Linked DNA regions of Kluyveromyces lactis. The protein of the gene in region 2 interacts with the protein of the main gene of each other region in a biochemical or structural test. Links are inferred from orthologs where the notes say so. Each region holds a gene or a part of one and is shown on either strand. Other genes may lie near its edges.

Region 1 (3,119 bases), on a different chromosome or scaffold from region 2:
TTTCTCTGTTATCATTATTTTGCTGAAGTTCTTGCAATTTTCTTACAGCTAATTGAGTTAATTCAGGTTTTTTATTCAGTTTCTGAGATGTCTTCAATACAATACCCCAACCTTTCACGTAGGCTTCTGCCAACTCAACAGATCTCAACGCATTTGATAAACTTGATTGCAAAGCAGCTTCAGGGTCAGAATCTGATTGAGACTTCAAGTAATGCAAATAAGCTAATTGACCAAATGCTTCATAACTGAACGGCACCCCAATTATGACTTCTTCCATGCAATATATTGCTTGACGTAGGTCCCCAGCCTCCTGGTATTCTTGCGAAAGTAACGACCATATTTCTGCATCTAGAGGAAACTTCTCAACCAGATCCAGTAGTTCTTTTACCCATTTTTCTTTACTCATCGAAGGTCTCTCTATCGCAAGTAGCCTTTTCTTCATCTGTACGTAGTCTTCTGAATCAGTAGCTATTTCCAGCTGATTCTTGATCAAATCCTCGATATATTTCTTAGCCGCATCATCGGATCGAGTGACCTGTATTAACATAGAGTGCATCACATGAATTCTTGGAGAATCGTCACCTAGACGATCTGTCACAGTTTTGTACAATGTTTCAGCCTCTGTGTCTTCACCACGAACAAGACAAAGATAAAACAATAATTCGACCATTGAGAAATAACTAATTTCGTCAAGCCCATTTAACCCAGCATCTATCAAAAGTTTCGTTTCCTTATAAGCCAAATCAATTTCTTTAGGTGGCAGAATGGCCCATGCGCCAGTCTTATGGATTGCCAGTAATTTGTTCTTAAGTAAATCCATGATATGAACAAAGTTAGATTTCGACCCTAAGATGTATGTGAGATTCGAGCACAATTTCAACACAGTAAATTACTCACTAAATTCCACGAGCAGTAATTGTATTGAAGGTATTCAAACATTTAACACCACCATACGTATCTCACCCATGTTATACCCTGTAATATGTCTCTTACAGAACCGATGCTTAAACAATCACAGAGCCAAATGAATCGTTGGAGCTAAAGCACGTGACACATGCTCCGTTTCGACATGTATTTTCATATCACCATAAACGACGAAAATTTTTCAGGAATCAAGGCCTCAGTATCTGATTGCCACACGCGAAGAGTTGAAGTTGAACTTCTAAGAGATGAGATGAACTTCTTCCATATACATGATTCAAGAAGGCGTTAATGACCCCGTTTTACAGTCCAATACAGGATCAGTTCGAACTTACTTTTAAAAGTTTTTGTGTTTTCCAGACTTGAAGAACGTCAAAGACACGGTGGTAGCAGAAACAAGTGACTAGAGATTAGTAACAGTAGCCGAAGATGTCAATCAATATTTGCAGAGACAACAATGACCCTTTCTACCGTTATAAAATGCCTCCAATTCAGGCTAAGATTGAAGGTAGAGGTAATGGTATCAAAACTGTTGTTATGAATACCATGGATGTTGCCCGTGCTTTAAACAGACCAGCTCCATACATCATCAAATATTTCGGGTTTGAATTGGGTGCCCAAACTGCTATCAATGTTGAAAATGATCGTTACATTGTCAATGGTGCTCATCAACCAGCCAAATTACAGGACGTATTGGATGGTTTCATCACTAAGTTTGTCCTTTGTGGATCCTGTAAGAATCCTGAAACTGAAATTGTTATCACTAAAGATGGTGATTTGGTTAGAGACTGTAAAGCTTGTGGTAAGAGAACCCCTATGGATTTGAGACATAAGTTGTCCTCGTTCGTCTTAAAGAACCCTCCTGACAGTATGAACGGTTCCAAGAAAAAGAAGAAGGCTGCCACTGCGTCTGCTAATGTCAGAGGTGGTGGTCTTTCTATTAGTGATATCGCTCAAGGTAAATCCCAAGCTGAAGCTGGTGACGATGCCGAAGAAAACGATTCCGATGATGATGAATTGGCCAGACAAATTAATGCCGCTGCCTCTAACTTGGCTACCATTGAAGTCAAGGATGAGGACTGGGCCGTTGATATGTCTGAAGAAGCCATCAGAGCTCGTGCGAAAGAATTACAAGGTGAAGCTGACAAAGAAACTGGCGAATTCTCCAAGTTGGAAGAATTTGGTGAATGGGTACTACATGAAGAAGAACTACCTACCGATATTGAATTATACAAAAAGATTGCAGAACTCGAGCTTCTGGAAGATCCAAAGGTTGCTGCAGTTCTGGCCCAAGTTCTTTTCGATGAAGATATCGTATCGGATATCTCTGAACATACTGCGTTCTTGCAAAAATTATTGAAGGACGAAGACTTCGAAAAGAACTTTTTGGGTGGTATTGAAAGATTCCTTGGACTTGATCACCAAGAATTGATCCCATTACTACCAAAGATCTTGGTCCAATTATACAACAACGACATCATTTCCGAAGAAGAGATTATCAGCTTCGGTACCAAATGCTCTAAGAAGTTTGTACCAAAGGATGTTTCTAAGAAGGTTCGTAGAGCTGCCAAGCCATTCATCACTTGGTTGAAAACTGCCGAAGAAGATGATGAGGATTCGGAATAAAGAAAATCATGATCTTATAAGAAAATGGTCAAAGTTCAAATACTATTCAAATTTTAACCAGATTTTTCGGTGTTTCGTTTTCTATTTATCATCCTAACCATCTCCTTGTTTTGCATTAACAGAATAAATATCATTTTCATTTTATCAAGAGCGAACTAAATCTCTTCAATATTTATCCTTTAGCTCTGTAAAATACTGTATGTATACTATCATATATACGCATATGTTTAATACATTCATGACCTTGCGCATACATCATTAGCGGCTCAAGAATGGCACTGATAGGTGCGCCGTGCCGACCTGCCCTTGTCTTCTTATAACCTATTTATTGTCTTTCAATATTCAGCTGTGATGATCCTTTTCTCTCTTTTGTTTACACTTTCGTGGAAAAAGAAGACACAATTTGAGATCAAATCATATTTACATCCTGAATGGACAAGAAGAATACTAGGTCCTGTCAAAAGAGAAGAATAGGGTGCGAATCTTGTTGGAAGAAGAGTAAAAATACACTTTCATCAGACGGTTTCATTACATGAATGATCTGTAGGTTTGATTTCTATGGCGTACTGTAA
Region 2 (4,245 bases):
GAAGTCATTGAATTACCAGTGAAACACCCAGAACTATTCGAAAGTCTTGGTATCGCTCAACCTAAAGGTGTTATTCTATACGGTCCGCCAGGTACTGGTAAGACTTTACTAGCGAGAGCCGTAGCACATCACACAGACTGTAAATTTATCAGAGTAAGTGGTGCCGAATTGGTGCAAAAATATATCGGTGAAGGTTCCCGTATGGTCCGTGAGTTATTCGTGATGGCTAGAGAACATGCGCCTTCTATCATTTTCATGGACGAAATCGATTCTATCGGTTCCAGTCGTGTTGAAGGATCTGGCGGTGGTGATTCCGAAGTGCAAAGAACCATGTTGGAATTGTTGAATCAATTGGACGGGTTTGAAACTTCGAAAAACATTAAAATCATCATGGCTACAAACAGATTGGATATATTGGACCCTGCATTGCTAAGACCAGGTAGAATTGATAGAAAAATCGAATTCCCACCACCAACCGTAGCGGCTAGAACAGAGATTCTAAGAATCCACTCAAGAAAGATGAACTTGACCCGTGGTATTAACCTAAGGAAAGTCGCCGAAAAGATGAACGGATGCTCTGGAGCTGACGTTAAAGGTGTTTGTACCGAGGCTGGTATGTACGCACTAAGGGAACGTAGAATTCACGTAACCCAAGAAGATTTTGAACTAGCCGTGGCCAAGGTCATGAACAAGAACGACGAAACTGCTATCTCTGTAGCAAAATTGTTCAAGTAAGGATCCTTCACCCCTTTCATCTCAAACAGCGCATATCATTAGATACATCCCTACATATTATACATAAGCCACGTACAACACACGCCTGTGGTTGTACCCCCGTGTCAATATGTTTCTAATCAGATCCTCTCTTTTTCCCCCTCATCGCATCTCATCTCGTCATAAACTTGACCATCATGTCAATCTTCTCAATATACACGAAAGAAGAAAAAAAAAATTTTTACATTGTAAAGAGGAAAAGCTGTGAATCTTTTGAAATAAAATTTCAACCTTTAAGCCATTGAATTTTACCATTACGATAGCACATTTTGCATAAAACAGGATAGAGGAAAAGAGGCACAGAGAGCTACTGCTGATCTGATAGTCAATAGATTTATCAGCACTTGTATTGTTTGAATTGTTAGAGAGTAACAGTGGACAGTAAAGAAACAAATCTGGGAAAAAAAGAATCTCACAAGAAAGTGATAATTTTTTTTTGTTCTTCGTTTATTTGTTTAAAGAGAAAGAGTTAAGAATTGGACTTTAATTTCATTCTACTCATTCGTGTTTCTATATAACTCGACTCGTTTTCTCTAGGTACTCTGGATTACTCGGTTACAAGAGAGAAATTAAACAGAAAAGAGCTTAGATCCAGCTAATTTCATCTGAAGAAGAGAGAAAGAGCGGTTTTTCAAAGCAGATATGGGCGAACCTACATCCGATCAGCAACCAGCTGTTGAAGCTCCAGTTGTGCAGGAGGAGACAACCAGTTCTCCGCAAAAAAACAGTGGATATGTCAAGAATACTGCTGGAAGCGGTGCTCCTAGAAATGGGAAATATGATGGTAACAGGAAGAACTCTAGGCCTTATAACCAAAGAGGTAACAACAACAATAATAATGGTTCTTCCTCGAATAAGCACTATCAAAAGTATAACCAACCAGCGTACGGTGTTTCTGCGGGATACATTCCGAACTACGGCGTATCGGCAGAGTACAACCCTCTGTACTATAACCAGTACCAACAGCAGCAACAGCTGTACGCTGCTGCTTACCAGACTCCAATGAGCGGACAAGGTTATGTCCCCCCAGTAGTGTCTCCAGCTGCTGTTTCAGCTAAACCAGCGAAGGTTGAGATTACTAACAAGTCTGGTGAACACATAGATATTGCTTCCATTGCTCATCCACATACTCATTCTCATTCTCAATCTCATTCGCGTGCAGTTCCAGTAGTGTCGCCTCCAGCTAACGTTACCGTCGCTGCTGCTGTATCATCCTCTGTGTCTCCATCAGCTTCTCCAGCTGTCAAAGTACAGAGCCCTGCTGCTAATGGTAAGGAACAATCTCCAGCTAAGCCTGAAGAACCAAAGAAGGACACTTTAATTGTGAACGATTTCTTGGAACAAGTTAAAAGACGCAAGGCTGCTTTAGCTGCTAAGAAGGCTGTCGAAGAGAAGGGTCCTGAGGAACCGAAGGAATCTGTCGTTGGAACTGACACTGATGCAAGCGTTGATACTAAGACAGGGCCTACAGCCACTGAATCTGCCAAGTCTGAAGAAGCTCAATCAGAATCACAAGAAAAGACTAAGGAAGAGGCTCCAGCTGAGCCAAAACCATTGACTTTGGCCGAAAAATTGAGACTTAAGAGGATGGAAGCTGCAAAGCAAGCTTCTGCTAAGACCGAGGAACTAAAGACTGAAGAATCTAAGCCTGAAGAAACAAAGACCGAGGAGCTAAAGACTGAAGAATCTAAGCCTGAAGAAACAAAGACCGAGGAGCTAAAGACTGAAGAAACAAAGTCCGAGGAACTAAAGACTGAAGAACCTAAGGCGGAAGAATCAAAGGCGGAAGAACCAAAGCCTGAAGAACCAAAGACCGAGGAACCGACGACTGAACAACCAAAGTCAGATGAACCAAAGTCGGAAGAATCAAAAACTGAAGAGCCAAAAACCGAGGTATTAAAGACTGAAGAACCAAAATCGGAAGAATCAAAGCCTGCAGAACCAAAGACTGAAGAAACAGCAACTGAAGAAACAGCAACTGAAGCAAACGCCGAAGAAGGTGAACCGGCTCCTGCTGGTCCCGTTGAAACTCCTGCTGATGTTGAAACAAAACCTCGAGAAGAGGCTGAAGTTGAAGACGATGGAAAGATTACCATGACCGATTTCCTACAGAAGTTGAAAGAGGTTTCTCCAGTTGATGATATTTATTCCTTCCAATACCCAAGTGACATTACGCCTCCAAATGATAGATATAAAAAGACAAGCATTAAATATGCATACGGACCTGATTTCTTGTATCAGTTCAAAGAAAAGGTCGATGTTAAATACGATCCAGCGTGGATGGCTGAAATGACGAGTAAAATTGTCATCCCTCCTAAGAAGCCTGGTTCAAGCGGAAGAGGCGAAGATAGATTTAGTAAGGGTAAGGTTGGATCTCTAAGAAGTGAAGGCAGATCGGGTTCCAGGTCCAACTCGAAGAAGAAGTCAAAGAGGGATGATAGAAAATCTAATAGATCATACACTTCCAGAAAGGACCGTGAAAGATTCAGAGAGGAAGAAGTCGAAGAGCCAAAGGTTGAGGTTGCCCCATTGGTCCCAAGTGCTAATAGATGGGTTCCTAAATCTAAGATGAAGAAAACAGAAGTCAAGTTAGCTCCAGACGGAACAGAACTTTACGACGCGGAAGAAGCATCAAGAAAGATGAAGTCATTGCTGAATAAATTGACATTAGAAATGTTCGAACCTATTTCTGATGATATCATGAAGATCGCTAACCAATCTAGATGGGAAGAAAAGGGTGAGACTTTGAAGATTGTCATCCAACAAATTTTCAATAAGGCCTGCGATGAACCTCATTGGTCATCAATGTACGCGCAATTATGTGGTAAGGTCGTTAAAGACTTAGATGATAGCATTAAAGACTCAGAAACCCCAGATAAGACTGGTTCTCACTTGGTTTTGCATTACTTAGTCCAAAGATGTCAAACTGAATTCCAAACAGGATGGACTGATCAACTACCTACAAACGAAGACGGTACTCCTCTACAACCTGAAATGATGTCCGATGAATACTATAAGATGGCTGCCGCTAAGAGAAGAGGTTTGGGTTTGGTTCGTTTCATTGGTTTCTTGTACCGTTCGAACTTATTGACTTCCAGAATGGTCTTCTTCTGTTTCAAGAGACTAATGAAGGATATTCAAAACTCTCCTACTGAAGATACTCTAGAGTCTGTATGTGAACTTTTGGAAACAATTGGTGAACAGTTCGAAGGTGCTCGTATTCAAGTTACTGCAGAAGCTGTCATTGAGGGTTCAAGCTTGCTAGACACACTATTCGACCAAATAAAGAACGTGATCGAAAATGGTGACATCTCCAGCAGAATCAAGTTTAAGTTGATCGACATTGTCGAACTAAGAGAAAAGAGGAACTGGAATAGTAAAAATAAGAACGATGGTCCAAAGACCATTGCTCAAATTCACGAAGAAGAAGCCTTGAAGAGGGCTTTGGAGGAAAGAGAAAGAGAAAGAGAT
Region 3 (3,718 bases), on a different chromosome or scaffold from region 2:
AAGGTATATAAAGACTGATAAAAAAACCTTTTGAAAATGCGAAAAACCTCTTCATTAAAAAGACTACTAATGTCCTCCCATTAGAGCTTTAGTATTATATAAAACGGGTAGAGTAACAATAATAGTTAGATAGAAAAAATCAGTAAGAAAAAATTTGAAGAGAAAAATGGGGCATACCTCCGGATTGAATTAGCGGTATGGAGAAAGGGTAGAGTGATGTGATGGATTGTGGTAATATGGTATATGTGGAGCGTGGTAATTTTTTTTATTGGTAAAGATTAAAAGCACAACATTTTTGGCAACAATGGAAAGCCTGTGATGAACAAAAAAAAAAAAAGCGAGAGAAAAAGAAGAGTGGCAGAAAGTAGTTTATTTCGACTAGTTTAGGTCTATAACAATGCGTAAGCTAATTAGCACCACCCAGTTCCAATGCGTGAAGCTGAGACTATTCATATAGTTAGCTGTTCGTTTTTTTTTTTAATTTTTCTTTTTCTTCGGGGGAAAGATATAGAAAGGACAAGATGAAGATCAAGGTCAAAAAATCAAGTTTAAGCTTGAGCTTCTTGTTCCTTCTTGAAGTTTTCGTAAGCAGCTAAGGCTTCTTGGAATTGCTGTTCAAATTGTTCGTCGTTGTCCAACAATTGGATGACTTGCTGTGGTGGTAGATCCAAGATCATACCGGTGATCTTACCAGCGGCGTTTTCGTCGTCAATCTTGGCACTGACCTTCTTGTACAATTGTTCACCCAAGGCTTGTCTTTGCTTTTGTTGTTGGATGTAGTGTTGTTGTTGGTGTCTTGGGAATTGGTTTTGAGGTGGCATACCTTGGTACATTGGACCGTTTGGTCTACCAGCAAATTGTTGTGGTGGTGGGACCATACCGTTCTTTGGAATACCGGCACCCATTGGGCCGTTCATACCTGGGTTTGGACCTGGGAAACCTCTTGGGGCCATAACACCATAGAACATTTGTGGCATGTATTGGCCTGGCATACCAGCAGCAGCGGCAGCAGCTTGTTGTTGTTGCTGTTGTTGGAATCTGATTTGGTTTCTGGCTTGAATTTGTTGAGCCAATTGGGATCTTCTGACATCCTTTCTTTGAGCAATGGCAACGTACAATGGCTTACCGGCAACAATTTGTTGGTTCTTTTCGGTCATAGCCTTGGTAGCTTCTTCTGGAGAAGAGAAACAAACGAAACCGAAACCCTTAGAGTTACCCTCTTGGTCTCTCATGACTCTAGCAGAGGTGATGGTACCGTATGGGGCGAATTCTTCCTTCAATTTTTCGTCATCGATGGAATCGTCCAAGTTCTTGATGAACAAGTTAACACCTTGGAACTTAGCCAATTTTTCCAAACGGTATTGTTCGTATTGTTTCTTCAATTCTTCAGCACGTTCGTACTTCTTTTGAGCTCTGCCAACGTACAAAGCTTGAGACTTGAATTCCTTACCGTTCAACTCTTCAACGGCCTTGGCAGCGGCGTTGTGGTCAACAAAGTTAACGAAACCGAAACCCTTTGGCTTACCCTCAGCATCCTTTTCCAAAGCAGCAGAGACAATTTCACCGTATTGGGAGAACAACTGTTCGAACTCTTCGTCAGTGGTTTCAACGTCAATGTTCTTGACGTAAATGTTGGTGAAGTTAGCCTTGGCTTCTTCCAACTTGGAGATACGGTCCTTCTTTGGAACGTGCATGGCAACGTAAACTTCCAAACCGTTCATCAACATACCGTTGACGGCTTCAATAGCATCCTTAGCATCGGATTCTTCCTTGAAATGAACGAAACCGAAGCCTCTAGAGTTTCCATTCTCATCTAAAGCAACTTTACAAGACAAGACTTCACCGAAAGTGGAGAAAGTTTCATGCAAAGCCTTGTTGTCAATGGCTGGGTGCAAGTTCTTGATGAAAATGTTACCAGAACCCTTCTTTCTGATAGCTGGGTCACGTTCGGACCACATAATTCTACATGGTCTACCGTTGATTTCAGCATAGTTCAATTCTTGAATAGCTTTCTTACCAGCTTCGTAATCAGTATAGTTAACGTAAGCGTAACCTAACGAAGCCTTGGTGACGGCATCACGACAAACACGGATCGAGGAAATTGGACCCAATGGTGAAAACACATCGTACAACAATGCTTCAGTAATGTTTGGATCCAATTCACCAACGTACAATGAAGCGTTGTTGTTTTCAACCTTAGAAACAGAAGAAGCTTCGCTTTCAGAAGCAGAAGTGGATGGAGCACTGGCAGATTGAGCTGGTTGCTGATCATCGTTGATCTGCAAGTTTTCCAATTGCTCAGCAGTTTTTTCAGTAATATCAGACATTATGAGATGAGATGAGATGAGATAAATTTAACCGAAAAAGATGGCGGTTGGTTGGTTTTGTAATGTGTTTTTAAAATATATGTTTTTTTATGGTTTTTTAATGTGTATTTTAGTGTATTGTTTTGTTTAATACCCACACAGTTGCGAACCTTTGATGAAACTATTAAGTTTTGATTTAACGATGGATGGAAATGAAAAACCCTTAGTTAACTTGAATTCAAAAAGACTTCTAACTGGAATGTTTTGACTAATATTAAAAAGATATAAACCACGCTTATTCTTTTCTTTTACCAAAAACAATTAAAATACAGGATACAGATGATACCTTTAGAGAGTTTGCTGACTTTGACCGTGGTCTTTTTAAACAAACAAATTGCACAAAATAAAATGTTACAATAACTGAACCAGAAAGGTAATACAAATAAGTAACAAACGAAACAGTATAAACTAACCAAGATAACTAAAAACTTATAACAAATTAAATAAATGAAACAACATCACAAGAACTTATTTAAAATCGTTATATAATTCATCCATCTCTGTGAGAACAGTCCTTAATTGTTGTGATGAGTTAGCCAAAAAGTGAAAATTTTCATTGAAAAATTTAAAGAGTTGAAAAAGAGTTTAAAGCTTTTCCACAAAAGGAAAGGTAGGTACGTGCGAAATGATCTGAGGCATCACCACAACAAACCAGGTATTTTACTAGCAGCCGGCTGTTTCTGGTGCGCCCTTGTGCCTCATGTCATTTATGAAGGTAATAATAACTAATAGCAATATGTTGTTGATTAGATATCTTTTTTTTTTTCGTAAATTGATAGGCGTATATATCTCTATGTTTTGTTACATTTGACTAATTAATGTTCAGAGGCTTTGATTTTGTCGTACATCGCCAGGAGTTTGGAAGATGGGACATCTCTTGGCCAGTAATATGCAGTGAAAGACCATAAATGTCTTTTATATTTTTCTGGAGAGGTCTTAGACGAGTCCTTCTTGTGCGATTCGATGTAGTCACCAACACGTTTCAATTCCTTCTTCAATAGGTTAGCCCATTGCTTACGTTCAAGACCGTCTCCTCCAGATCTTAGACGTTTGAGTGAGCTACGGACGTTTGTCATCGTTTTCTTACACTCTTCTTCGTCCATACTGTCGTATTCTTTGTCAGGAAGACGGATATCGGCTTTTGGTGCCAACGGTATGTCTTTACCTTTCCTCTGCTGTTTTTTCGATCCGACGACAGGCGTACCAGATCTTGATGATGGTTGTTGATGGTGATGGGCCTTGCCACGCTTTGTTTCGGAGCTATTGTCTGGTGTAGAGTCCTTGCCGGTTAAGTTAACACTATTGCCGTCACTTGGGGTACCAGCGGTATGGGCATTTTCGTTCCCATTGCT
Region 4 (2,723 bases), on a different chromosome or scaffold from region 2:
ACAAGACTGGCATGCACACATTACTGCTGTGACGATATCACCTAGGTTCAGGAGAATATCGCTTGCATCGATGCTATGTGACACATTAAAAACCATAACAGATAACTCCCCGCATAATGTGAACTTTATTGATTTATTTGTGAAATGCAATAACCAATTGGCGATCAGTTTATATGAAAAATTGGGATATTCTGTCTATAGAAGAGTTGTAGGATATTACAACTCGCAAACTGATCCAATACCTTCCCGGTCAACAAAACCAAATGACCTCAAGGATGCCTTTGACATGAGACATGGGATGGAAAGAGACCAGGGAAAAAGTCTTCGTGCTGATGGACGGAAACATAATTGCTTGCCGATGGACATACGGTTTTAATGCTGTACTTTTAAAATTATAATAGCTTTTAAATTTGTATACTTAGTGTTTCTATGTTACACATGCGTCTTTCCCTGCTTTTACTTCGATAGATTGCTCGATTCATTTCGTGTTAGCTTCAATTTCCCGGTGTGTTAAGAGGTAGTTGAGATAATAGGTATTTAATGGGGTTCTGTTAAGATTCAACATCATGGACTGGTGGCTTGTTGGCAGCATTACGATTTCCACCACGGAAGCCACCGCGGTTACCGCCACGGTTACCTCTATATCCACCACGACCTCTGAAGCCGCCACGACCATTGTTTCTTGGTCTGGCTTGACCGAAAGTATCCAAGTTGACCTGGCGTTCCTCTTCCCATTTGGCAGAAGACGAGTTTTCTACGGCGGAACTTGAAATGGAATCAAAGAATGAGGATTTTTTATCGTAGAAAATCTCATCTGTCTTGGAGGTTTGCTTCTCTTGTTCTATATCTGATTCTCTGGGCTTTTCAGCATTCTGGAATTTGGCGTTGTTACTTTCGAAATCAAATTCAGAATCTGGAACAGCAGAAGGAGCCACCGCAGCCACAGGAGCAGCAGGAGCCGCAGACTTCTGCTGTTGCTGGTTAGGAACTTTCTTTTCGGTAACAGGCTGTTGGCGGGTCTGCTGTCTTTGCTGCTGCTGTTTTTGCTGGTGTTGTTGGGGAACTTGCTGCTGATCCTTGTCTGGAGCGTACACACCATACCCGGCCACCGCAGCAGGAACGTTGGGCCCATTTGCATTAGCCAACGGAGCTGGTGGTTGACCGCTTACCTGAGGTGGCAATACAGGTTGTACTTGTTCCAAAGGAACGTCTAAAATGTTTAAATCCTTAACGTCATTACCGTTGAAAGGCACCGTATCGTAGATATTAGGGTTGGGATAGATTTCTTCCGGGCCCCATCCCTTGCGTCCCTCTGTACCGAAACAACGAACTTGTCTTAAAGTAACAACACCTTTCTCAGAGTCAATAGACTCCAATAAGCCGACATAACGGTTATCAGTATTCGAAATAAGAGCAATAGTCTTACCAATATATTGCGACATCCTTTCAAAAAGTGGACACTCTATAATCAATAAATTAACTTCTAAAACCCACTAGATACAAACAAATATCCTTCTTGAACAACGATCAAAGTGTGGGAATAGTTCTAAATTAAGAGCGAACGTTAGCAGATGCAGTCAGTATTATTCAATGTCATAGTCCCTTAGATTTCTAAAGATTCTTCAATTGGAAATACCTGCATGGAAATTCATAGTTTTGACGGTTTCAATATTAATTTTCGATGTTGACGAATGGCATTTCAAAACCACGTGATCAATATCAACACTTTTTTTTTTTCTTTTCGAAGAATCCTCACTTCGAGGCAGACGAGAGCCAAAAAATGTGTGGAGAAGGGACATTACAGCCGAAAAACTGGAAAATAATCTGTGATAAGTGACCGCTATTCATCTAATTGGGGAATAATTCTGGGAAAGTAACTACTATATAAATGGAATATAATTTCTAAGGTGTAAAGTGCAAAATGTTCCTGTTTTCAAGCCTAAACTCTTCGGTTGGAAGCGGAGAATAATAAAATCAAAAAAAAAAGTAAATTTAGTACTTTGCAGTGCTTATTGAATGAATCACCGCCCCTCTAACAATTTATTGTGAACAGGAGATAATCAATTTTATAAACGCCGAAGTTTAGTAGATCAGGGTCAATTAAATCACGTACCACCGTAACATATGGCAAGTTTAGAGAATGCTTTCGTTGGGGCAGTCTCCAGCGGGTTTGCCAATTTGGCAGTGTATCCACTTGATTTGGCGAAAACTGTGATTCAAACTCAGTTGAAACAAGGTGATTTGTACCCTTCTTCTGATGTTCAAGCTGATGTCTCTACCAAGGAAAGTACTGGCTCCAGTAAACCGAAGAAACACGGTATACAGCAGATTAAACCGAAGCCTGAACCTCCGACAGCGACTAAAGAGTCATTGGAGCAGCGGTATAAGCATGCATTAGATGTGATTGTAAAAGTTTATCGGAATGAAGGGTTTGGTGGATTATACCATGGGTTAAGCGCATCATTGCTTGGAACTTTCATACAGAGTTTCTCTTATTTCTTCTGGTATACCTTGATCAGAAGACATTATTTCCGTGTGAAGAAAGTGAAGGGTGAGGCTGCCAGGTTTTCAACAATTGAAGAATTGCTGCTTTCCATGCTGGCAGCAGCAACCTCTCAGTTATTCACTAATCCAATCAACATTGTTTCGACAAAACAACAGACTAGACGTGGTTTAGAAGGGGACAACAGTTTCAAGGCTATTGCCAAGGAGGTTTATGATGA

Evidence for each region.
Region 1: the proteins of KLLA0_A04730g (region 2) and TIF5 form a complex in vitro, tested with the Saccharomyces cerevisiae proteins (2 studies listed by BioGRID). The link is inferred for Kluyveromyces lactis from reciprocal best matches to the Saccharomyces cerevisiae genes TIF4631 and TIF5.
Region 3: the proteins of KLLA0_A04730g (region 2) and PAB1 form a complex in vitro, tested with the Saccharomyces cerevisiae proteins (10 studies listed by BioGRID). The link is inferred for Kluyveromyces lactis from reciprocal best matches to the Saccharomyces cerevisiae genes TIF4631 and PAB1.
Region 4: the proteins of KLLA0_A04730g (region 2) and SCD6 form a complex in vitro, tested with the Saccharomyces cerevisiae proteins (3 studies listed by BioGRID). The link is inferred for Kluyveromyces lactis from reciprocal best matches to the Saccharomyces cerevisiae genes TIF4631 and SCD6.

Annotation. Positions count from the first base shown.
Region 1 is NC_006041.1:552,114-555,232, reverse strand, and holds TIF5 (translation initiation factor eIF5), read left to right. Parts: upstream 1-1,350; coding exon 1,351-2,547; downstream 2,548-3,119. Other genes in the region: EMC2 (Emc2p), read right to left, coding at 1-820. UniProt on the Saccharomyces cerevisiae protein: Catalyzes the hydrolysis of GTP bound to the 40S ribosomal initiation complex (40S.mRNA.Met-tRNA[F].eIF-2.GTP) with the subsequent joining of a 60S ribosomal subunit resulting in the release of eIF-2 and the guanine nucleotide.
Region 2 is NC_006037.1:422,100-426,344, reverse strand, and holds the start of KLLA0_A04730g (uncharacterized protein), read left to right. Parts: upstream 1-1,416; coding exon 1,417-4,245. Other genes in the region: proteasome regulatory particle base subunit RPT6, read left to right, coding at 1-735. UniProt on the Saccharomyces cerevisiae protein: Component of the eIF4F complex, which interacts with the mRNA cap structure and serves as an initial point of assembly for the translation apparatus.
Region 3 is NC_006039.1:1,551,931-1,555,648, reverse strand, and holds PAB1 (polyadenylate-binding protein), read right to left. Parts: upstream 2,328-3,718; coding exon 549-2,327; downstream 1-548. Other genes in the region: chromatin-remodeling ATPase CHD1, read right to left, coding at 3,182-3,718. UniProt on the Saccharomyces cerevisiae protein: Binds the poly(A) tail of mRNA. Appears to be an important mediator of the multiple roles of the poly(A) tail in mRNA biogenesis, stability and translation.
Region 4 is NC_006038.1:986,169-988,891, forward strand, and holds SCD6 (Scd6p), read right to left. Parts: upstream 1,443-2,723; coding exon 552-1,442; downstream 1-551. Other genes in the region: peptide alpha-N-acetyltransferase complex B subunit NAT3, read left to right, coding at 1-376; ANT1 (Ant1p), read left to right, coding at 2,125-2,723.